2 linked regions of the Tamandua tetradactyla genome follow. The protein of the gene in region 1 interacts with the protein of each later gene in a biochemical or structural test. Links are inferred from orthologs where the notes say so. Each region holds a gene or a part of one and is shown on either strand. Other genes may lie near its edges. The genes, in order: PIAS3 and MITF.

Region 1 (12,433 bases):
CTTTCTCCGCATGTGTCACTGTCACTTCTCGGCCAGCTGCACCTCCCGTGGTCCAGGGCCACGAGGCAGGGCAGGGCGGTCACGCGTGGCCGTGCAGGGAGAGGTGCTTACCCTTCCTTTCAATCCCTGGTCCACAGCAAGACCTTTTCCTTTCTGTTCCGAGTTCTGTCCTAGGTCAGCACACCCCCATCAAGGAAGCAGAGGTGGGCGGCTCGCTCCTTTATCAGGTCTAAGAATGACCACAAAGAATGAAATGCCTGTTGTGTACCAGGTGCTTCGTATGCTTTACATCCTGCATGCCAGTCCATGGCAGCAGTGTGTGGCCCCCACGGCAGCCCTGGAAGGGGGCAGCGTTATTTTCCTTGTGACACTAAGGCGTCAGTCATGGAGAAGTTAACTTCTGTGAGGGCGGGCACATAGCTCGTGAACGGCATTCTGCTCTGCCCTAGAACCCCTTCCTCCTCGTCCTCCCCATTCTCGGCCCTTCACCTCCTGTTCCTTCCTCCCGGCGTCCCCAGGGCTGCATGGAGCGGGACGTGTACGACATCTTGCTGCGAATCCTCAGCATGCAGGAGGACTGAGCCACCTGGTGCGGGCGTGGGATTCCTCTGTTGTGAGTTGTGGGCTGAGGGGGGAAGGGGTTTGGGAGGAAGGACTTGGAGATGTCCCGGGGGAAGGGAACTGCAGTCCCTGTGCCTCTGCCTGCTGCGGGGGCCATGGGCATGTGAGGCGAGGTCAGTTGAGGACACCCAGGGAAGCACGGGGGCATTAGGGTCAGGTGAGCAGGTGGACAGAGCGGGGCTGACGCATGGGATGGGGTTGGGTGACTTCCCCAGTGCTGGGGTGAGTGATGGTGGGAGAATAGTGCGAACTGGTCCCCGGTTTGCCGAGCCTCCCCTCACGCCCACACCTGCGTCCAGACATTGACCCCCCTCCACTCTCCTCCCCCGCACAGGGGGTCGTCTCCTCCAGCCCCGAGGGATGAGCATCCCCTTGGCTTCTCGGCATGGGCGGGAGGAGACTGGAGACGTGGAAATTGTGCATCTTATTCTCCAATTTCTTCTTTCAGGAAACAGGAGCATCCCCAATTGCCCGAGGCCCCGCCAGGCTGGGGCAGATGGGAGGTGGGGGCGCTCCCCAGGGCGGGGGGGGGGGGGCAGATGGGGGGCGGATGGTGCTGATGCTCCCCAGAGATGGATGGAGGGTGCTCCCTGGGGGTGGATGGGGGGGCACTCCCCAGTGTGGTGGGGGTGGAGGGGGGGTGGCGGGGGCGCTCCCCAGGTCAGCGGGGACAGGGCATCACCTGAAATCACAGACTCGAGAGTCTGGACCCGGGAATCAGTACGGATGGGACAAAGGAGGGGTTGGAAACTGCTCTGTGAAAAATGAGCAAGAGGCAGGCGGTGCTGGGGGTTGTTTCTTTGTGTCCTGAGGGGACCGTGGAAGGGTCTTGTCATTCCCTTTTGATCACAAATGGTCTCTTGCGGCTTTCCAACTATGATTAGAGTCCACAGTAAGAAATATGTTTTACATCCTGTTCGTATGAATCTGAAATAAAACTTACCCTTATAATTTCTAATTCTATTTGTATCCTAGCCTATATCTTCTGCTATTATAAAAAAAAAAAAGTTCATCACGATCCACCCACTAGTTTGAACAACAGAGTTCTCAGCAAAAATGGGGCTTGATGGACTTCCCTTCTGGTCTGAGATCTGTCCCTTACGAGCACAGTGCCATCCTTCTTCTCTACTTTGGGACTCCGAGTCTGTGATCTTTCTTTTTTTTTAATTAAACATAACAACATACAAACACCAACATTCTTACCATATGATTATTCTGTTCTTGATATATAATCAATAACTCACAATATCATCACATATTTGCTGATGATAGTTGCATATTCATCATCATGATCATTTCTTAGAACATTTGCATCAATTCAGAAAAAGAAATAAGGAGAAAACAAAAAAATTCTTACATACCGTACCCTTTACCACTCCCTTTCATTGCTCACTAGCATTTCAATCTACTAAATTTATTTTAACATTTCCCCCTATTATTTATTTATTTTTAATCCGTATGTTTTACTCATCTGTAAATAAGGTGGATAAAAGTGCCAGACACAAGGTTTTCACAATCACACAGTCTATGAACTTTTTTAAGGGATTGAGAGATGTAGATTTTCTTCAAGACGTACAAACTAAAATTATTCTATTTTGTGAGAGACCATGTGTCTAGACTTGAGAGTTTATTTTTTACAGTCACTGTCTTCACCCCAGGTGCAAAGAGGGACAAGTCTGAGTACTGGGAAAGGGAGGAAGGGACCCCAAGAGTTGGCGTCTTCTCTCCGGTGCTGTTCTCAGACTGTAAAACCAAATCTCTTTTGGTCCCTTCCCCAGGGGTTCCCCCCTCCCCATCCCTCCACGAGGCAGGCTCCAGTGAGAGGAGGCAGCGAGGGCCTCCAACATGGGATTGCAGTTCCGCCCTCCCAAGCCCTCCCGCCTCCCACGTGCCCCCTGCCCGCCCCCTGCTCCCTCTGGGCGCCCCCTCAGGGCAGCAGAGACCACGTCGCCTCTCTACCAATCAAGCTTCTAGAAGCCCCAGCTCCAGGTGGGGACTGAGACAAGCAGGAAAGTAGGGTGAAAGCAAACGGGAGGTAGGGACTATGTGAGGTGGTGGGAAAATAACTTGTTTTTTGAATAGTTTTACTCCGAGGCTTCAGTTTTGGACCATTCTGTGCAGGAGCTGAGCCTGAGCGGCTGGGTTGAGAGAGGAGGGGAGGGACAGCCATGGGGATGGGCCATGCCAGGGTTGCAGAGGCTCCTCCAGGGCTTGGCCAGGAAGAGAAGAGCTGGGGTATGTGGGTCAGGTTCTAGAAAAGGTGCAGGTCAGCTTGGGAGTTTGTGTGGGTGGGGCAGGAGAACGGAGAGAGGCGGATCGGCTGGAAATCATGTTAAATGGTTATGGTTAGATGTGATAACGTATAAACTAAGATAGGAGGTGTGGACCGAAAGAAAAGTCTTAGAATTTGGAGAAGGGGAGAAAGGGTGCAGCTGTCACCGGAAAAGCATCAGAAGGGGCCGGTCACTTCTAATAAGGGGAACAGAACCTCTACTTTCCTGACTGCTGAGTTACCAAAGGATGCAAAAGCACTGTTATATTCCTTATTTTACATGGGGTATGGGGTGGGAAGCACGAAGAAACCGCAGAGAAATGGCTAAACTTCTGTATGAGTCAAGAAACAGCTTAGGGAATGGAAGCCAGGCGTCTGGCTCCTTCCCGGGCCCTGGAAGCTAACGCCTGGGCGTCTGGACTGTGGGGAGGTGAGGGAGGTTACGCTAACACCACGGTAGGGCTTTCTCCAGCCTCCGATCTTCCCACGTAAACTCCCTCTCTACCATCCAACAACTCCTGGAAGTTTCCTTGATTTCAAAAATCCTTCTCTCACAAAGTCATTCTAATCCTAACGTCTCCTCTTATTCCTCCCAGGATGGATGTTTGAGGGAACTTGGTAGGGAATTATTACTCCTGGTCCACCCCCCCGCCCAGGCCGGTCCCCAGATGTAAAAGTGTGAAGGGAAGTGCAGGGGACCTGGAGGTGAAGCCCCATCAGGGGGTTCGGACTATGTCTTTGATGTCTGTGATCTGGAACTTGAACCTGATTTGCAGCCTCTCTCCTTTCCCTGGGACATTAGCTTGTCCACAGGTATTTAAAGAGCCCACCACTTGCCAGGCAGTGGGTTCAGCAGGAAGAGCATGGAAAAGGTGTCTGTACCTGTGGAATTGCAGGCAGGACCTGATTCGGGTGCCTGGCTCCCAGCTGCCTTATCCTGTAGGGATGTGGAACTTACAACCTCAACTTAACCTTTAAAGGAGAGGTGCTTTTGTCATGAAATCCCTGGAAATCAAGGTGAGGTTGACTTTCTAGCCTTCTTTTAAACGTTTGCAGTATTTTTGCGGTAGAATTGACATACAATAACCATAGCTATCCAAAGTGTACAATTTGATGGTTTTGACATATGTGTATAACCTATAACCGTGAAACCATCTCCATAATCAAGGTCAACAACAGTTCCATCCTTCCCAAAGGCTCCCCTGTCCTGCCCCCTCCAGCAACCACTGGAAATTCTAGAAAATACTGATCTTTAGACGTTTCTGACGTAAAGAACTGGACCAAACCAAAAATGGGCAAAGGACCAGGTGAAGACTTGCATGTTGGGGAAGGCAGCTGGGACTTAGAAGCAAATTCTTAGCCTGCATTTAGCTTGAGCGGCCCATGACCAAGGAAGGAGCCCGCGTGTCAGGAGGGGCTGGACACCTCCCCCAAGGACACAACCAGCGTCCAGCAGGCCCCTAGGGCTATTGCAGGCTGCCCCTCGGTCATATGGCTGGGGGAGGGGCTCCTAGGAAGGGATATACTGGCGGCTTGAGCAGAATGAGGGGCTGCTCATATACATCACTGAAATGCTTTTCTTGCTTGCTGATGACTGGTTTAACATGTCTTGTCTCTCTGGCAAGGCTTTTGTGTCCTCAGCACCTAATAAACCCTGAACACCACTCAAATAGTCACTGAGCGCAATGGCAACATGACTTCGGCCCCGGCCAACTCTAAAGTGCCCTCAGTTTCCCTGTCTCTGGCTCCACCGATTTGCTCTGTGGCCTTCACAGGAGTTACCAGCTGGGCTAAGAATGGGACCTCCGAAGGGGCCGGCCTCGGGGAAGAAGAGGAGATGGTTCAGAGAGGGTCAGAAAGACCCGCCCTCAGCTACACCTCGGTGTGGGGTCTCTGGTGTCCAAGTGTGTATCTGGGGGTAAGGGGGGCACGCGTTGTGGACCTAGGGCCGGGCACAGTGAATTCGGAAACCCGGTGTTTCCAGACGGAGGGAGCGCAGCACACCAAGCAGTAAGCGTTCCTGCGGTCGCACCCCGTCCGCCCCGTCTCATCTGGAAGGCCGCCCCTGCAAGGCCGCGCGCGAGGGGCCAGAGACGGCGAGAGGGGGAGATGGAAGAGCCGCCTCGCCACCTTTCCACCTCTCCTGGTGCCCGAGTGCAGCGCCCACTAGGCCCGGCCCCGCCCGCCAGGCCTAGGCCCCGCCCACCACATCCCGCCCCGGCCCCGCCCACCAGGCCTAGGCCCGGCCCAGGCCCGGCCCACCACAGCCCGCCCCGGCCCCGCCCAGTCCAGGGCCAGGCCCCGCCCACCAGGCCTAGGCCCGGCCCACCACAGCCCGCCCCGGCCCCGCCCAGTCCAGGGCCCGGCCCCGCCCGCCAGGCCTGGGCCCGGCCCACCACAGCCCGCCCTGGCCCCGCCCAGCCCAGGGCCCGGCCCCTCGCGCGGCCCGGGCCCGCTGACCCTGCAGGGGCGGCCCCTGGCCCCGCGCTGGGCCGGGCCGAGCTGCGGGCTGTGGCCGCGCGTCCAGCTGCCCCGCGGAGCCCCGGCCCTGCCTACGGCGGGAGCGGCGCCCCCCGCCCCCGCCCGCTCCGGACGAGCTGGTAAGTCCCGTTCTCGGCGCCAACTTTTTGGCTGCGGAGTGTGAGTCCGTGGCTGCAGCGTGGCCGCAGCGTGGCCGGGGCGCGGGGCCGGACGGCCGTCTTGTGGAGCAGAGGCTCCCGGGCGGGGGCGTTGGCTACGGGCTCTTCGCCCCACCTCTGCCGCTGCCTCTCCGCCTTCCGGCGAGCTGCCGCCCCAACGCCCCTGCCCCAACGCCCCTGCCCCTTCCCTTCCCCTAGCCCCTGCCCCTGCCCCCTGCCCCCGGTTCCCCCGGGGTGACAGGCTCGCTCCCCCAGCGCGCCCTTCCCCGCGATCCCCCGGGCCGCCCGTCGCGCGCACCCGCAGGGGCCGGGGCCGGGGCCGGTCGGCGCGCGGGCGGGGCCTGGGGGGAGGCGCGGAGCCGCGCGGGCGGGGCGGGGCGGGCGGCGTCTGCGGCGGGCGCCGGGGCGGGGAGTTGCGCGCCGGTCCCTGGGCCTGAGCTCGGGCTGGGCTCGGCGATGTCTCAAGATGGCGGAGCTGGGCGAGCTAAAGGTGCGGCCCCTCCCCCCCGTGGGGCCCAGCCGGGCGGCAGCCGAGGCCGGGCGCCGCTGCGGGGCGGGGGCGGGGCGGGGGCGCGGCGGGCTGCTGGGCGCGCGGGAAGGGCTGCGGGCCGGGCGGGCGGCGGCGCGGCCCGGGGGCGGGGCCGCGGGCAGATGCGGGGAGGGGCCGGGGGCGCCGTTGCGGGGCCGGGGCGCAGGGGGCGGGGCCGCGGGCAGATGCGGGGTGCGGCCGGGGGCGCCGCTGCGGGGTCCCGGGCAGATGTGGGGTGCGGCCGGGGGCGCCGTTGCGGGGCCGGGGCGCAGGGGGCGGGGTCCCGGGCAGATGCGGGGTGCGGCCGGGGGCGCCGTTGCGGGGCCCGGGCGCAGGGGGCGGGGCCGCAGGCAGATGCGGGGAGGGGCGGGGGGCGCCGCTGCGGGGGCCCGGGCAGATGCGGAGTGCGGCCGGGGGCGCCGCTGCGGGGCCGGGGCGCAGGGGGCGGGGCCGCGGGCAGATGCGGGGTGCGGTCGGGGGCGCCGCTGCGGGGCCGGGGCGCGGGGGGGCGGGGCCGCGGGCAGATGCGGGGTGCGGTCGGGGGCGCCGCTGCGGGGCCGGGGCGCGGGGGGCGGGGCCTCGGGCAGATGCGGGGTGCAGCTGGGGGCGCCGCTGCGGGGCCGGGGCCTCGGGCATATGCGGGGTGCGGCCCGGGGCGCCGCTGCGGGCCGAGCGCGGGCCGGCTGCAGCGTGGAGTCGGGCTCTAGCGGGGAGGGCCTGAGCAGGGCCCGCGGGTACGAGGTGTGCGGGGTGGCCTGGGGCAGACCTCGGGAGGCCCCTCGGGGATGTGGACCGCGGGTAGGAGCTCGGCGGATCCGCGCCCTGGGAGCTGCCCGTAGGCGGAGGGGCGGCAGCGTCCCGGAGACCAGGACCCAGAGGGTGGGCGGGGAGGAGGGGAGGCCACGGGCTTGGCGAACAGGACCGAGCTGGGCAGGCTGGGGAGAAGGGGGCAGGAGCGCGGTTCTCAGCACATTTCCCCGAAGGGGCCCAGGCCTGCGTCTGCCATCCCGGGATGGAGGAACCGTGGAGAGCCCCTTTGAGACTCAGGGAAGGCGTCCTTTAAGGAGAGAGCCCTTAGTGCTGCCTGGTCGCCCCGAGGAGGCCAGCTTGCCAAACCTTAGCTTGGGTCCAGCCAAACCTAGCTTGGGTCCAGCCGTCGGCCTCCAGGTTTTGTGTTTTTCCCCTTTGGGTTGGTCCCCTGGGAAGTGCCAGCAGGGTTGGGGTCCTACCACCGGGTGCTTGTGAGTTTGCTCCTGCTTGGGTGTCATGTGTTTTCTCAGGGTCCCGGGGCCTGTTTAGGGCTTTGCGGGGGCCTCTTGTACCCCTGAGGGTGGGGACAGGGAAGGCACCCAAGAGAAGCAGGACGATAGCTGCTGGCAGATGGAGTAATAGGTCACTGGGTCCTGTGGTTCACTGTGACCCTCTCCCCAAGTTTCATCCTGTTTCTCAGAGCAGGTTCTGCTGGGGTAGGATTTGGGGGAGCATCGATTCCCGACCTGAAGCCCTGACTACAAAGCTCAGAGCCCTGGGCCAGTCACTGAGGGGGACGGGTACTGGGCGCAGCTGTCCGGCTGCTGGCCCCCCTCCTGGGGCTTCCGGGGCTCTCGGGCCTGAGTTCCCTCTCTCCTCCTCCCTGTCTCCAGCCTCCTTCCAGGAGGCCGGGATGGGTCTGAGAGTCCGAGCAGCAGCAGGGGGGACATCAGCTCAGGGGGAGCTTCAGGGGCAGAGGCTGGAGGTGGGGCATGCAGTGGCTCTGCCACCCGTCCCCCCGGTCATTTCCAGGTCTGGGGTGACAAGGCCCCTCACGCTGGTTCGGCACGGTGGGTTGAGCGGGGGCTGCTGACCTGGGACTGAGCGATCCCCTTGGCCAAGCTGCCGGCCACAGCCTGCCAGTGGCCAGACCTTGAGTCAGGGCTGAAGGGAGGTGGCAGTGCCCACCCAGGAGCCATCGCAGTGTCCCAAGGGGACAGGCCCGCGGGCTGGCGATCTCAGGGCCTCTGTCCCCGCAGCACATGGTGATGAGTTTCCGGGTGTCCGAGCTCCAGGTGCTCCTCGGCTTCGCCGGCCGCAACAAGAGCGGGCGCAAGCACGAGCTCCTGGCCAAGGCCCTGCTCCTGCTCAGGGCCAGCTGCGCCCCCAGCATCCAGATGAAGATCAAGGAGCTCTACCGCCGCCGCTTTCCCCGCAAGGCCCTGGGGTCCTCCGACCTCCCCCTGCTCCCGCTGCCCCCTGGCACCCCGCCTGTGGGCTCCCCCGGGCCCCTGGCTCCCATGCCCCCTGCCCTCCTGGCCCCTGGCCCCCTGCTGGGCCCCAAGCACGAGGTGGACATCCCCCCCCCTCCGCCCCAGCCTGTGCACCCCGACGTCACCATGAAGCCGCTGCCCTTCTATGAGGTCTACGCAGAGCTCATCCGGCCCAGCACCCTTGGTAGGGCACCCTGCCCCCCAGCCCCCTGGTCCTAGGCTCCAGCCCCGAGGGGTCCGCTGCCTGTGCTCGGGCCTGGAGATAACTGCCCCTCATGCCCCCAGCGTCCACGTGCAGCCAGCGGTTTGAGGAGGCGCACTTCACCTTTGCCCTCACCCCCCAGCAGGTGCAGCAGATCGTCACATCCAGGTATGGCCCTCTGGCCTCCCCCTCGGGGCGGGCTCAGCCCTTTTCCTCTTTCCTCTCCTCTGGACCCTGCTGTCTCTCTCTCTTGTGTATCTCTTCCTGGAACCGGACTTCTAACTCCACGCCCCGTCCCTTGGCCCCTGCCCCTAGGCGCCGCAGGCTGACTCTCGCCCTCTCTTCCAGGGAGGTTCTCCCGGGAGCCAAGTGTGATTACAGCATCCAGGTGCAGCTGAGGTGAGTGCCCCGGCCCCACCTGGCCCTGCGGAGGGTGGGACACGCCCGGGGGAGTGCAGGGGCAGGATACATGCCCAGGACATACTCCTGCCCAGCCTGTGTCCCCCAGCCCTGGGCAGCTGGGAGCCAAGGCTGCAGAGGCCACATGACCTATTTTCTGGGGTTCCCTGGTCTCTCCCAGGTTCAGTGACAGACCTGGCTCCCTTTCACCTCCCCGCCTGTCCCCAGGTTCTGTCTCTGCGAGACCAGCTGCCCCCAGGAGGACTATTTCCCTCCCAACCTCTTTGTGAAGGTCAACGGGAAGCTGTGTCCCCTGCCGGTAAGTGCTCCCCTGGCAGCAACCCCTCCCCGTCCCGTCCGCACGTGCCGACTGCTCGCCTCTGTATACTGCACCAGCAGGGTCAGGGTGGCTGCGGGGAGGGGGCCATGGCCCTACTGTCGCGACATCTGTGAGAGGGAGACACATCAGACAGGCCTGTGCGCTGTGGGCGCCGTTTCCTGGGCCCGTCGGCATTGCCGGGAGGGCGCCAGGACGGGGCTGGGTGGGGTCCATGGGGTTCCCTTGGCCCACCATGCAGGGCCCTGCAGCCTCGAGGCACGGGGGGAGGATTTCTGTCCCTCTGCCCGGTGGTGGAGCTCTGCCTCCCACAGCCCACAGCCTGGGGTCAGTGCACGGGCCGGTCACCTTCCAGGGGACAGGTGGCCCAAGACAAGCTGTGTCTAGTGTTAGCGCAGAGCCCCTTCCTGGATGGACCCCAGCCTGCCCACCCTCCCCTGACCCGCCGTCCTTCCGCAGGGCTACCTCCCGCCCACCAAAAACGGGGCTGAGCCCAAGAGACCCAGCCGCCCCATCAACATCACTGGCCTGGCCCGGCTCTCAGCCACTGTCCCCAACACGGTGGTGGTGAACTGGTCGTCCGAGTTTGGACGGGTGAGCCCGGGGAGGCTTGGTGGTGCTGGGCACACACAGCAGGGGCCCCCATGTCCTGGCTGGGGGGTGCGTCCCGCCCTCTGGTTTCTCCGTCTCAGCCCCGGGTCTGCCTGACGGGGCTCGGGTGGCTTTGCGGAGCGCGGAGGCTGATGGCCGCTCTCCTGCCACCCGGGGCAGAACTACTCCCTGTCCGTGCACCTGGTGCGGCAGCTGACTGCGGGGACATTGCTGCAGAAGCTCAGAGCCAAGGGCGTGCGGAACCCCGACCACTCGCGGGCGCTGAGTGAGCGACGTGCGGCCTGACCCTGGACCCCACGGCGCCTCTCGGCCCGTACTTGCTGTCACCCGCCTCACCCTGCCCTGCCCTGCGGCCTTACGGCAGCTCCTCATGGACCCTAAACCCAGGCCTGCCGGGCACGTGCCCTCGCGGCCGTCTCAGCTGGCCCTTAGGGACGCTCTGATCCCCTGTAGGTCACCTCGGCCTAGGCGTCCCCCAGCTCTGCCCATGTACCCGTAAGGGGGGGGTCTCCTCCTGATCAGGACCCTGCGTGCTGCCCTAAGCTCCCCCGGGCTGCCCCGCGGCCGTCTGTCCCTCTCCAGGCCCGCTGTCCATTTGCTGACTCCATTGCTCTGACTTGGCTCCTCTTCCAGTCAAGGAGAAACTGACCGCTGACCCTGACAGTGAGGTGGCCACCACCAGCCTGCGGGTGTCCCTAATGTGCCCGGTGAGCAGGGACTCGTGGGGACCTGGGGCAGGGCTGCGCAGGTGCCGAGGCTGACCTGGACCCCCGCCCTCCAGCTGGGGAAGATGCGCCTGTCCGTGCCCTGCCGCGCCCTCACCTGCGCCCACCTGCAGAGCTTCGACGCTGCACTCTACCTGCAGATGAACGAGAAGAAGCCCACCTGGACGTGCCCCGTGTGTGACAAGAAGGCCCCCTATGAAGCTCTGATCATCGACGGGTAGGTAGCTCTGCTCACCCGGCTGGGCACGGCTGCCTCGCACAGGTGCGTGTGCCTGCGTACGATGGGTGCAGCACATACTCCTCACGGGAACCCAGCGCGCACCCTATCCTCCACCTGTGAGTGTGTGTGTGCAGACACCATCTGGAGGATGATAGTACACCAGCGTTGTGTGTGTGTGTGTAAACTCACCACCTCGAGGGCCATGATACACCAGCATGCATTCATTTTAAAGCCTAGCACTTTGGCACATCAGGCTTTATGTTTTGTTTCATTTTTTTCCAAAGCAGTTTCCAGAGCTCTTTTACACGCTTAAGGGCACAGCAGGAGGGCAGTGGGTGGATGGCGTCCTGCTGTGCGAATGAGGGCGCCAGACCCCGGGGAGCCGGCAGAGCTGAGGCTGCTGTGGCCCCTCCCGGCCCTGATGCCCTTGTCCCCTCCAGCCTGTTCGTGGAGATCCTGGACTCCTGCTCGGACTGTGATGAGATCCAGTTCAGGGAGGATGGGTCCTGGTGCCCAATGAAGCCCAGGAAGGAGGCGTCTGAGGTTTGCCCCCCGCCAGGGTTTGGGCTGGATGGTGAGTGACCCCCTGTCCCCCGGCTGAGCTGAGCCGTGAGTGGCCCCCTCTCTGAGGCCCGGCCCCTGCCCCCCAGGCCGCCAGCACAGCCCCGTGCTGGAGGGAAGCGCGCCCGGGAGCAGGAGGAAGGTGGAGGTCATCGACCTGACCACTGACAGCTCGGAGGAGGAGGACCTGCCCCCGGCCAAGAAGCACCGTCCTGTGCCCCCCGCCGCCGTCCCGCCCCCGCCTGCCAGCAAAGGGTGGGGACCGCGGCCAGGGGGTGGGAGGGTGGGCGGCGGGGGCGGGGGCCGCGGACGAGTCGGGGGCAGACAGGCTGGGGAGGGGGCGGTGTCTGAGGGCGGGGGCGGGGGCGGGGGCGGGCGAGGTGCTTGCGGCGGCCCAGCCCCTCCTCTCGCGCAGGGCCGTGTCTGCGGGCCCGCGGCCGCCGTCGGTGCTGCGCTGTCCTGCGCTGGGCGCGCTGGGCGCTGAGCTGCTGGCGCATCTCCCGCTGCCCGAGTGCCCGCCTGCCTTCCCGCTAGGGGCCGAGGGCCAAGGTACGTGGCCTGCCCGGACGGCCTGTCCCGCCGTCCCCCCCCCCCCGTCTCCTTGTCCCCGAAGGGCAGGCCAGAGGGTGACCCAGACTCTCTCTCCCTCCAGGCCTGGACCTGTTTTCTTTTCTGCACACCGAGAGCCAGGTGGGTGTCCCCCGCCTCTGGGGCCCCTCCCGCTCCCACTCCCGGAGCCGAGTCGGCCTCTCTGCTAGGGGGGAGAGGCAGCGCCCCCTCTCCTTTCGGGCCGGGCTTAGGGAAGCCCCTGTCCCCACCCCGGCACAGGGTTGCAGGGCCGCGGGCCTGGCAGACTGGGGGTTGCTCCAGGCTGGAGGGATGGTGGGAGGGGGGAGGGACGGAGGGAGTGCCGGGGGCTGCAGAGAGGGGCCCCGTCCTGCGCGAGGGCACCGGCGCGGGGCAGGTGGGCGCGGAGCCTAAGCCGCGGCTTCGCCCCCAGCACTACGCGCCCCCTGCCATCACCTCGCTGGACCAGCACGACGCCCTCGGCCGCTTCCTCCAGTACCGGGGCG
Region 2 (12,453 bases), on another chromosome or scaffold:
TGTGCCTTCACTAGATCAGTTCTGTGGAATGGCTTTTGGAGTTGTTCCTAGCTGCATGGCTTCTACACTAGGTTCTGGTCTTTCTTCATTCTCAGGTCTTTCTTGAGATTCTGTGAGCTATTCAACATATTTTCCATAAATTCCTTTCTGCTTAAATCATCCAAAGACAATTTCTGTTAGTTTTGTTCTCAGAACATAACATGTACAACCCTGCTTCCATAGCTTCCTCATGTCCATTTTCTTTCTTTTTTTTAATGACATGCTTTTCAACATAATTTTATCAGAAATTCTGCCTCATTTTTACTAAGGTGGTTTCTTCTCATGCTTTTTTTTTTCATAACGGAAAATTTCAAACATACACAAAAGCAGAGAGAATAATACAGTGAACTTCCATTACCCATCATTCAGCTTCAACCAGTATCCACATTTTGCCATTTATGTTTCATCTTTTCCTTCCCCTACTATTTCCTGAGTTGAAAGGAGAGGAGATGGGTCCATATATCCTATTGTCTCACTCACAAATACATTGTTTCTATCTCTAACAGATAAAGACTTAAGGTCCAATAGAAATGGTACAATGCTATTATTACACTTAGTAAAATTAACAATAATTCTATAATATCATCATTTCAGTTCATGTTCAAACTCTCCCAGTTTTCCCAAAAATGAAGCATTAAGTTGTTTTGTTTTAATCAGAATACAAAGTTTGCACAATATATTTGGGTGATATGTCTCTTTTCTTTCTTCAGTTCATTTTTTGCTGAGATGTAATTCACATACCTGACATGTCTCTCACATCTCCTTTTTTTTTGTATGCTGTATAGCGGGGTCACATTTCATTCTTTTTCCATGTGAGTATTCCATTATTGTAGCATCATTTGTTGAATTTTGTTTGTTTTTTTGGTTGGTTTCTTTGTTTGTTAGTTTGGCAAGTGCATGGGTGGGAATCGAACCCAGGTGTCCTGCATGGCAGGCGAGAATTCTACCACTGAGCTACCCTCACAGCCCCCTCTTAAATCTCTTTTAATCTATAACAGTTCCCTTTCCCTTTACTTCATGTCATTTTTATTTTTTAAAGGAGCTTCTCAATTTCTGGATTTGTCTGATTTCATCTTCAGGGTGTCATTAGCAACCCCCTATCATTATTTTTTCCTCTAAATTGTTGGTTGGGTCTAGTGACTTGATTAGATTATTTACAGGATTTTATCCACTAAATTACCCCCTCCCTTCTTAAAGATTTAGCTCAGTTACATCTCCTTCAAGAATTCTTCCTCACTATCCTTGCCCTCAGTGGTTGCTTTTTTCTCAGACATTTGTGACATTACCTTTCACTCTATTTATCTGTTAGATCACTCCTATTCCTGAAAAGACAGACATTATGTCTTGTATGCAGAGACCACATATGTCTCATCACTGCCTTTTCCCTCGTATCTAACAAACAATGTGCCTGGCACAGAATAGGTGCTCCATTAATAGTGGGTAAGCTAAATGGATATGAGAGTTTGAATCATCTACCATCTATGTGCTGCTTAGCATTTCCTGCCTTAAGTGTAGTTTTTCACTGTGTTATCAGTCTTCATTCAGTTCATAGACTGTAAGCCTCTTAAGGGCAGGAAGTAGTTTGAGTACCTAACACAATGCCATGTCCAGAACATGGGGCACATGTTCATTGCATAATGAAACAGTGACCTTTGGTGTCTATTCTCGCAGGATTTTTGTGAGCTCAAATAAGAGATGAATGCGAAAAGCATTCTGTAGAAAGAAAAGTGTAACATAAATATAGATAATATTACCAATGAAAATACTTATAATTTCTAGCTGTTCCTTTTGTGCTTTTAATAGGCACAGTTCTCAGTTGAAATGAATAGAGCTATGGACTTTTTTCTTCACCAGTTTTCAGATGTGGCCCTGCTCCTAGGGTTCAATGCATTAATGAAGAGGGATTACAGGTGCTATCGATCAGGTGACCAGCTTTTTGTTACATGGATTGACGGTGTGGCAGTCCATAGAAAAATGTTCCTTTCAAGGAGTGAAAGGTTTTTTATACGAAGTACTCAAAGCTCTTTTGGTTGCAAGTGGCAAAATTTCCAACAAAAACATTTTCGGCCAAAAGGGATTTTGTTTTGGTCTATATATCTGAAAAGTTGAGCGATATCTGACTTCAGGTATGGTTGGAACAAGGCGTAGAAGCAATGTTATAGTAATTTCTCTTTATTTCTCAGTGTTCTAGTTTGCTAGCTGCTGGAATGCAATATACCAGAAATAGAATGGCTTTTAAAAAGGGGAATTTAATAAATTGCTAGTTTACAGTTCTAAGGCCAAGAAAATGCTCCAAGTGCAAGTCTATAGAAATGTCCAACCAAAGACATCCATCCAGGGAAAAATACCTTGGTTCAAGAAGGCCGATGAAGTTTAGGGTTTCTCTCTCAAGTGAGAAGGCACATGGCGACACAGTCAGGGCTTCTCTCTCAGCTGGAAGGGCACATGGCGAACCGGCGTCATCTGCTAGCTTTCTCTTCTGGCTTCTGGCTTCATGAAGCTCCCTGGGAGGTGTTTTCCTTCTTCATTTCCAAAGGTCACTGGCTGGTGGACTCTCTGCTTCGTGGTGCTGTAGCATTCTCTGCTCTCTTTGAATCTCCCATGCTCCAAAATGTTTCCTCTTTTATAGGACTCCAATAAACCAATCAAGACCCACCCAAATGGGTGGAGACATGTCATCACCTAATCCAGTTTAACGACCACTCTTGACTAAATCACATCTTCCAGGGAGATGATCTGATTACAGTTTCAAACATACAATATTGAATAGAGATTATTCTGCCTTTATGAATGGGATTTTGATTAAAATATGGCTTTTCTAGGGGGCATACATCCTTTCAAACCAGCACACTCAGTTTAGCTTGTTTCTGCTGCTCTTTGATTGTGGATCTCATCTAATTCTTTCCCATTTTAGGTTAGCTACCTTATGTGGTCATAGTAAATAGTTCCAGGCTTTCTTCCTTCCAGCACCATACTTCCAAAAGCCAGAGACAGGCTTCCCCAATTGCCTAGCAGAAAAGTCCCAAGGAAGACATCTGGTAATGTTTGGGTACCTGTCCATCTCTAAAAGAATCATGTGGTTAAGGAAATGGGGAGTTCTGACTGGCCAGTGGGAGTCTCATGCCCACTCCTCTTAGGTGGTAGATGGCACTGCAATCGAAACCCCTGCTACATGTAATGGAGAAGTTTTCTTGAACAGAGGAAAAAAATGGAGGGAAATAGCAGGTATCTGTGTGTGCCTCAAGACAACCTCAGAGCCTGCACCCCAGGCATCTCTATGGAGGGTGCCCCTAGTTGGAGGTAAATTCAGGAAGTCTCAGCATTTTTGACAGGTTTTTCTCCATCACCTCTTGTTCCTTAGGTCTGGTAGGCCACTGTTCAACATAATGAATGACGTAATGGAATGTTTCATTATGCTTCTAAAGAGGTTATAAGCTGCACTTCTAATGCAAAGCTCTCGATAGCTTTCAAGTATTCAACAGACCAAAATCAAGTATAGAATTTTGTTTACATTTGTGTTTTCTCCAGAGAGGATGCATAGCTTTCCTCAGATTCAAAAGCTTCTAGTGAGCCAAAAGATTAAGAAATCCACAATATTTCTCAATGGGGGTACCACTAACATTTGAACAAGAAAGTTCGTCATTGTGCGCAAAATGTTTAGCATTTCTGGCCCATATCCCACTAGAATGCCTGTGATACCCCCAAGTTATTTTGACAATCAACCCTTCCTCCCATATTCCACATGTCTGTCTAGAGTTGAGACCCCAGGTGAGTCTAGGAGTCCAGATAGACTGAATGGACCCTTCATGTTTTTCCTTCTTCTTCCTTCTGGCAGGGGATAACACTTCTTCACTTTCAACATCTGACTTCCAGGAGTCTCTCAAAGAATCAGAGATCCCATATTCATGGGCATGAAAAGCCTATTTTCCTCAGGAGTGCTTTGAAGTATTCTGTCATGTTTTAATGGTTATAGTGAAGGACCTAAAAGTAGTACTTTGGGCACCAAATTTTATTGTGGGAATTTGGAAATCGCTACTGCAATACAGTATACCTTCTGTACTATTTCCAAATTTCCTTAAGATCCCTAGAGATCTTTTCTGATTTGAAGCTAAAATGTTCATTACACAAAAAAAGCAGGTACTCTCTGTTAACTCTGCAGGTAAATTTACTGCTCTCATCCCTATGTGGGACATGACTCCCAGTGGTATAAATCTCCCTGGCAATGTGGGACCTGACTCCCAGGAATGAGCCTGGCCCTGGCATCATGGGACTGAGAAAGACTGCTAGGCCAAAAAGGGAAAGAGAAATGAAACAAAATAAAGTTTTGGTGGCTGAGTGATTTCAAACAGAGGCAAGAGGTCATTCTGAAGATTATTCTTATGCGCTTATAGATATCCCTTTTCAGTTTTTGGTGTATTGGAGTAGCTAGAGGGAAATGCCTGAACTATAATCTGTAGCCTTGATTCTTGAAGATGACTGCATAACTATATAACTTTAACGGTGTGACTGTGTGACTGACACTCTCTTTATCCAGTGTATGGACAGGAGAGTAAGAAAATAAAGACAAAATATAAATAAATAATAGGGGAGATGGGATGTTTTGGGTGTTCTTTTTCATTTTTATTTTTATTCCTATTTTTATTGTTCATAGAGTAATGAAACTGTTCAAAAATCAAGTGTGATGATGAGTACACAACTATATGATAATATTGTGAACCACTGACGGTATAGTTTGGCTCATTATATGGTATGTGAATATATCTCAATAAAATTGCATTAAAAAAAAAACAACAACAGGCAAATGGGCAACTCCTGGGAGATGACCAATCATTAGTCTAGACTTTTTACAGTTTTGTTCTATGATGATCATAAGCTCATTACCTCTGAAAGGAGAAATACACAGGTGAAATGCCAGACTGAGATAAATGTCTTCAAGATATAATGAACGAAAGAAAGATCACTGAGTATTATTTTTATAGATTACAAAATCACTTTCTCTTGCAAATCTCCTCGTTTATAGAAGAAGAAATTGAAGCTTCTAAAATCAAGTGACATGCCCAAGATCACACAGTGTTTCTGAGCAGGACTTGGGATTTGATTCTGGTTTTTTAACTTTAGATGCCATCCTCTAACTCTATACTGCCTGTCTAATGCATTAAAACACTTTTAAAAATAAGGAACATCTCCTACTAGAACTACTCAGAGGGAAGCGCTGAAAGTACAAATGAACCGTAATCGATTGAAATTTTTTTTTTAATGTTACCTGAGTGTAGAGAAGTTCAGGAGGAGGTTGACACTTGGACGGTTTATATAGCCCACAACTTTATTCTTGAAATGTTATTACGATCTCATTTGAGTTCCCAGACAACGGAGAAATTAAAAACAGACAGCGCCAACGCTGTTTTGCAACTTAGTGCTTTCTTAAATCAACCGGACTTTAAAAGTGCTGCTTTAAGATTATAAGTGGATAACTGGATAAAGAGGAAAACAGCTAGATGAATAATATTCTAAAAGCCCAGACCAAGCTAAAAAAAAAAGAACGCATGAGAACAATTTCTACAATAATGCTTTAATTACTAGGTGAAAGTTCCTCACTCTGTTCCAATCCGAGGACAAGTTGACATGTCGCAGCAGCCCATGGAAGTCTGCGGGCTGATAGGAAGTTCTTTTATTAAAGGCAAGCTTGAACGCTAAAACTTCCTAGTGCCAAAACTTTTTGACGTCTCCTCGCACATGTCTGAGCTGTGGAAGAGCAGGGATGAAACCGTTCTTATTAATATAAAATAGTCAATTATGTACCCTTGAAGCAAATGGGAAAAGGGAGAGGAGCTGCTGACATTGACAATGAATCCAAACAGGAGTTGCACTAGCGGTGTCCACCACGTTGCCTATCCACCCGCCTGGCCTTGTGGGAGCTGTAGTTTCAGCTGGAGCAGCTCCCTCCGCGAGGCCGGAATGCCCCACCCGGGTCGAACTACAGATCCCAGACAGCGCTCGGCTGCCGGCCCCTCCCGCCCGAGTGCGAGTGTAAACTCACAGAGCCCTGGCGGGCGGCCGCGCGGGTAAGCGGGCTGAGCTTGGCACTGTGCCGGGGCGCACCGCTCAGGGGACCCAGGCCCTGCCACCTTCCTTGAGCCCCCTGGCTCAGTTCTTACTTTCGAACTGTGGAAGGACGAGAAACGGGAGCCATGCAGTCAGAATCCGGGATCGTGCCGGATTTCGAAGTCGGGGAGGAGTTTCACGAAGAGCCGAAAACCTATTACGAACTCAAAAGTCAGCCTCTGAAGAGCAGGTGAGTAGTGACAGCTGGAGGGAGGCACGGCGGGCGGCTGGGGGGTCCCGCGCCTCCCATCCTGGGCCAGAGACAGCTAGTTGCCCGGGCTCTCGGACAAGGACCCCGTGCCCTTGCCCCCAGGCAGAGGGCGAACTACCCCTCGCAGCTGGGGCCGCGCCATCCCGGCCCGTGCGCATCTGGGGATCGGTGCGAGCGCACTCTGAGGGGCGCCGTGGGTCGCCGGGGACGACGGGGGTCACGGGGACCCTCGATAGGGGATGTCAGCTGCTGTAACCAATTGGGGGCTGGGGAGAGACCCGCACGGAGGTGGGGGAGGAGGAGCGCGGGGTCGGGACACTGCTCCGGGGAAAGGGGGTGAAGAGGGGGTGCAGTTTCTAGTGAAACCCTTTTCTGAAGATCCTCGTGGGCCGATTGCTGGGAAAGGGAGATTTTGAGATAGATTGAGACGCCACGGTCGGGGGAAGCAATTAGCTTGTCGGTTCTTAGGGAGACTGGCCTCTCTCTCGGAGGAACCCGCCCCTGGCGAGTCTGGGAGAGTTTTCCCGGGGCCCCGCCTCTCACCTACCTGATCCGCTGCGCAGAGAGCCAAAGAGGCTGGGGGCAGCAGGTGGGCGTGTCTAGGTTAAACTCACTGGAAGTCTCGTCCATATCCAGGCCTTCCCTGGAGAACAAAAAGCCTTAGGCCTGGGACATAGTGGGGGTGTCTCCTGCCTGGCACCAGCACCCATTTACTTTGCTGTGGACTTCAGAAACTTCAGAAGGAGAGTGAAGATACCTGGTTGGCCTGGCTTCTCACCACCTCTGATGCCCACTTCCTTTGCGCCGCCCTCCTTTACTATGTCCATTACCACTTGCCAGTTGGAATGGGTTGGGTATTTTCCTTTTTGTATGCCCTGTGGCTGTTGCGGACCCCTTGGACCTCTCATTTCTGTTGTTTACTGAGAGGAAGTATGGTCAGTTGAGGCTATGAGAGCAGAGAAGAATTTATTTCCACCTCCCCCAACTCAATTGCGTGATAAGACTGGAAGCTTTTAATTGAGCTTCTGCGCTCATCTCAGACCTTGCTGTCCAGCCCTTAACTCTGGGTAGGGCCTGGGTGAATGGGCCTGGTTGGTAGACCGGGAAGAAAGTTGGAAATCAGGGTAAATGAGGAAGGGAAACTAAATCAGGAGCGAGAAGGTATAACCTTCACATTGGGAGAGCACATTCTGGTACTTGGTTTTGCAGATGCTGAAGCAGCCTCTTTGCAAATGCTTACGGGAGATTGGAAGGAAATGTCCTATGCAGTTAGGAGGATAAAACCAGCCTTTAGTTGGTGGTTTCTCTTCATAATGGCTGTTTTGTGTGTGTTGGGGGCTGGGGGTTTTGGGTTATATTGTGTAAAGGGTATTGTTGCTTATGCTCATTGGGGCTTTATCTGCATCTGCCTAAAGGGACCAGTGTTTTAGCAAGCGAGCGCTCCCCGCTTTTGCTTCTATAAGCAAATGCTTACATGGCCACAATGAGGGAGTATGCGTGCGTGTGTGGGGGGAGTTCTAAAAAAAAATGAATTAACTGGACTCTTTGGAACATTTTTGATGATAGCTGATACATAACATTAAATTAATTTGAGAGAGTGAGGAAAACGCCATCTGGAAAAACACAAATGAGTGGCATGAAACTCATGGTGAAGGATTTGGGCCTGTTCTTTTTCAGAGTCGGCAGAAATTTATGTGTAAGGGTGAACATCATCGTAGCTAGCTAGCTTGTGTAAAGAAAATTGTGGGGATGTGGGAAGAAATGGCTTCACACGTTGAAGCTAGAAACAGGTGTGGGACAGAACCGGTATGGAGAGAAAGGCTAAATTAAAAAAGTTGTTGCAAAACTTGTGTGTGGAGCAGACACATGCTATTTGAAATAAACCAGTTAAATAAAATCTGCGAATAAATATATGGGGTTGGCAAAATTTCCCTATACTGTTTTCCACAGTTTTCTAACGTATTGTCATCGACATCTGTTGTGTCACTTTGAAAGGGCTATACGTTGTTCAGGATCTTGTTATTGCTTTTTGTCTTAAATCTTTGCTGGGGTGCCTCACTTCTTATAAGTCTTGGTCAGGAAAAATGTTGAAACTAAAACATTAACATTGCTGTAGCCATTGTGTCTATCTCAATTATTGTATTCTCCGGACTGAATCTCCAGATTCCCCCAGGAGTTGAAAATGCCTAGAATCTGCCCACTTCTCCACCAACTCCTCTTCTACCCCGTGGTCCTCACCACCATTAGCCCTCTCCTGGATTCTTGCAGGAGTCCCTTAATTGGTGTACTGCCTTCTGCCCTTACCTGCTTTTAGTGGATTTTCAACACAGCAGCCGCAATGTTCCTGTTAAAACTGATTTCCCCCGGGGACAGATTTGCCTCCCAGGGAACATTTGACAAAGTCTGGAGACAGTTTTGGTTGTCACTACTGGGGATATGGGAGTTAATGGCCTCTAGTGGGTAGTGGCTAAGAATGCTGCTAGATGTCCTACAATGCAGCGCCTCCCCACAGCACCCCATCCCCGTCCCCAACAAAGAATTAATCAGCCCCAAATGTCAGTAGTGCCTAGAGTAAGAAACCCTATGTTAAAACATAAGCAGGATCTTATCATTCTCTGTTCAAACTCTTCCAATGACTCCTTGTTTCTCTCAGATAGACTCAAAGTCCTTAACATGGCATAAGACAGGCTATATATATGGTCAGGCTCCATGTCAGCTCTGGCCTTATTTGTTATTACAGTTTTCCTTGCCGTTCCTGGAACACAGGCCCTTTCATCTCTGTCTTTGTACTTTGTATTTGCTGTTCCCTCTGCCTGGAATGTCCTTTCCTCAGAGAGTCACAGTGCTCACTCCCTCACCAATTTCAAGTTTTTCTGTGAATGTCATTCCTTTTAGGCCTGCGCCGACCTTGCTGTTTGCAACTGCTTTCTCCAAACTCTCAATCTTGCTTATGCTGCTCTGTTATTTTCCGTAGTACTTATAGTCTAACCTACTATATAATTTTCTAATATGTTACGATTATTATGTTTCTCTCCACTAGATGCAAGCTCCAAGGGAACAGGGATTTCTGTGTGTTGCTTGTTCACTGCTGTAGCCGCAGAGTGTAGTTTTTCAGTCTCAGCTCTATTGACAGTTTGGGTTGGATAAGCTTTTGTTCCGGGGGTCTGTCCTGTGCATCGTAGGATGTTTAGCGGCAGTCCCTAGGCTCTTCCTTACTAGAGGTTAGTAGCACCCATTCCCCCCAGTCGTGACAACCAAAAATATCTCCAGACCGCCAAAAACGGGAGGTAATTGCTCCTGTTTCACAACCACAGGCCTAGAACAATGCTTGGCACAGAGAATGGGCTCAATAGATATTTGTTATTTAAATATGTTGTTTCTTTCTCCTTTAGTAACTCCACCCAGGATAACAAGTTTTTGTTTTTTTTGTTTTTTGTACATTCAACATTGTGTTCCTTTTAAAATTGATATCCATTGGGTCTCTCATAAGAGGACTTTATATGCTGTTTATCTGGGCTAAGCTCAGATATCAAATGTTTAAGAGGAAAGGCGTATTTCATTCCTAACCCAGACCTCCTGGACTTTCGGGACATGAGGGTGCTGGATTTAGATTATGTGAGCTCTGCTTTGGACCTGTTGACTAGCGAGGTTGTGTCCTGTGAGGACACATGCTATGAGAAAAGCCTCTAAGGGAGAATTGCTTGTACTTTGGTTCCCCCAGTGAGGTTTTTGAAGTTTGCGTGTGATCTCCTGGAAATGAGTTCTGAATGGTGGATGACAGAAGAAAAATGCAGACTATGGAGAGTGAACCCAGAACTGACATGTCGGCACGTTCAGGGACACACATTTGGAGCTGTTGAATGAACTCCTGGCAGCTAAGGAACCCTGTGCATCATCTTTTGGGCCCTAAAACAACATTTTAAAACGTGGTTGCATCTTTAAGCTTCATGGTCCTTTGGTTTGTTTTTCTTAGTGCTAAACTCTATGGCTTTGTCGTTGCGGATGCCCTTTTCCTGGACAGTCTTCAGAATTGGCTATATTTAATCGCAAATTCTTCTCTTTTGAAATGTTTAATGCTGCTTTAGACAATTGTTATTTAACTTCCTGCAAGCCAGAAATGGGAATGAAAAATGAATATTAGGCTTGCAATATTCCAGAGAGGATAGAGCAGTGGCTCCCAAATGCTGATTCATAGAGAGGTGTGTGGTTTTCACAGATTTGTGGTGAAATGCGAAAGATAAAGACTGTTGTGTCATAACCACACGCATATTTGGATGTAAGGCTACCTGCCATTTCTCAGATTTATTCTGAGATTTCACCCTCTTTGTTCATATTAAAAATATCCTTTCTTTTTGAAATAATACTTTGTTCTTGGCAAAACAAAACTGTCAGTCTTGTTTTGGTTTCTGAAACTTCTCATGATTTTTCTGGTCCAATCTGAAGTGATTAAGACAGAGATTAAGAGCAAGGTTCTGGCTGGCTGTGTGCTTAGGGTCTGGCTAGGAGAATTTGGAGAGGCTGGGTGGCCTCTAATTTCAGTTCTTTCATCTGGCATATGGATTCGTAGGGCCATCAATTGTCACACTGACTGTGGAATAGTTTTAGCATAGTGCCTGCTATATAGTATGTGCTCAGTAAATGTTACTGGCTGTTGTTGTTTTTGTTATTTTCATTGCTACTCAGCAACGAGTCCTGACATTTTGGAAAATGACATTGTTCTCTAAGTCCAGTTTTCCTATGCAATAAAATTCCCTCAATTTTAGTAAACTTTTTTACTTTCCTCCAAATGAGGATGTTTAGATTGAATTCTGTAATTTTTATTTTTGATCCAATCCGTAAAACTTCTTTTATGCTGGATAAAAAAATAGCCATCATGACATCAGTGCCTAAAAATTCATATTTGACACACATTTATTGAGTTCTAGTATATGCAAATTAATACTTATTATGACAGTTAACATTTATTGAGCATACATTGTATGTCAGACCCTGTTCGTAGAGTTTTTTACTTGCGTTAACTTAATCTTTGCAATGAAGTAATATTAATAATAAAATATTAATGATACTCATTCTATTTTAAAAACAGGCACAGGCTTACTATGTGCCAAATATTGTTCTAAGTATTTTACTTAATTAACTCGTTTAATTCTCATGTCAACCTTGAGTATATGTACTTTTATTATTCTCATTTTACACATAAAGAAACTGAAATATGGCACGTAGATGGTACCTGGATTCAAACAGGCAGTCTGGCTCCAGCTTCATACTGTTGTCCCCTAGTCTTTGCTGCTGTGTAGAAGGCACTGTGCATGATTGTGGGAAATCCAAAGGTGCATCATACTGTACTTTTTTTCCAAAACTCCCAGTGGGGTAAGCGAAAGACAACACTTGGATCCAGCTAATCATACAAGGCAGAGTGTGATCACTGTAGGGATGTGTACATCAGCAGTGGGAATTTAATAAAGGAAAAAGGATGTTGGGAGGCATTTTTACGCAAGATTAGCTGTGTTTGAGTTTGGTCTTGAAGATTGAGTGATACCTCAAACATGTTTCTCTATAGCACTCAATAAAATATTAGACACCTTGGGGAAGGACATAATCTTTTTTTTTTTTAATTGGGCCAATTAAGTCCTAGCCTGTCTTTTCATTTTTTAAATATTTTTATTGAGATATCTGCACATACCATACATCCACTCAAAGTATACACATCATGTAGTTGTATATTCATGACCGTGATCAGTTTTAGAACATTTGTATCACTCTAGAAAAAGAAATCAGGAGACAAAAGGAAAAACCTATACATCCCATATCCCTTACCCCACCCCTCTCATTGACCACTAGTATTGCAATGTACCCAATATTTTTTATCCCTTATCCCCCCCCATTACTTATTTATTTTTTGTCCTTGTTTTTTTACACATCTGTCCATACCTTGGATAAAGGGGGCATCAGCCACACGGTCACATTGTAAAAGCTATATAGTTATATAATTGTCTTCAAGAATCAAGGCTACTGGACTACAGTACAGCAGTTTCAGGTGATTTGGAGGACATAATCTGAATGTAGACTGAGTGGGCTGGTGTAAAGTTTAAAGGGAGTGG

Evidence for each region.
Region 2: the proteins of PIAS3 (region 1) and MITF form a complex in vitro, tested with the Homo sapiens proteins (2 studies listed by BioGRID). The link is inferred for Tamandua tetradactyla from reciprocal best matches to the Homo sapiens genes PIAS3 and MITF.

What each region holds. Positions count from the first base shown.
Region 1 is NC_135330.1:1,343,564-1,355,996, reverse strand, and holds the start of PIAS3 (E3 SUMO-protein ligase PIAS3), read left to right. Parts: upstream 1-5,918; 5' UTR 5,919-5,998; coding exon 5,999-6,022; intron 6,023-8,070; coding exon 8,071-8,488; intron 8,489-8,589; coding exon 8,590-8,674; intron 8,675-8,821; coding exon 8,822-8,905; intron 8,906-9,133; coding exon 9,134-9,224; intron 9,225-9,701; coding exon 9,702-9,836; intron 9,837-10,013; coding exon 10,014-10,119; intron 10,120-10,487; coding exon 10,488-10,561; intron 10,562-10,635; coding exon 10,636-10,796; intron 10,797-11,239; coding exon 11,240-11,373; intron 11,374-11,449; coding exon 11,450-11,615; intron 11,616-11,775; coding exon 11,776-11,909; intron 11,910-12,012; coding exon 12,013-12,050; intron 12,051-12,360; coding exon 12,361-12,433. Other genes in the region: ANKRD35 (ankyrin repeat domain-containing protein 35), read left to right, coding at 519-581. UniProt on the Homo sapiens protein: Functions as an E3-type small ubiquitin-like modifier (SUMO) ligase, stabilizing the interaction between UBE2I and the substrate, and as a SUMO-tethering factor.
Region 2 is NC_135341.1:14,358,326-14,370,778, reverse strand, and holds the start of MITF (microphthalmia-associated transcription factor), read left to right. Parts: upstream 1-6,066; 5' UTR 6,067-6,227; coding exon 6,228-6,331; intron 6,332-12,453. UniProt on the Homo sapiens protein: Transcription factor that acts as a master regulator of melanocyte survival and differentiation as well as melanosome biogenesis.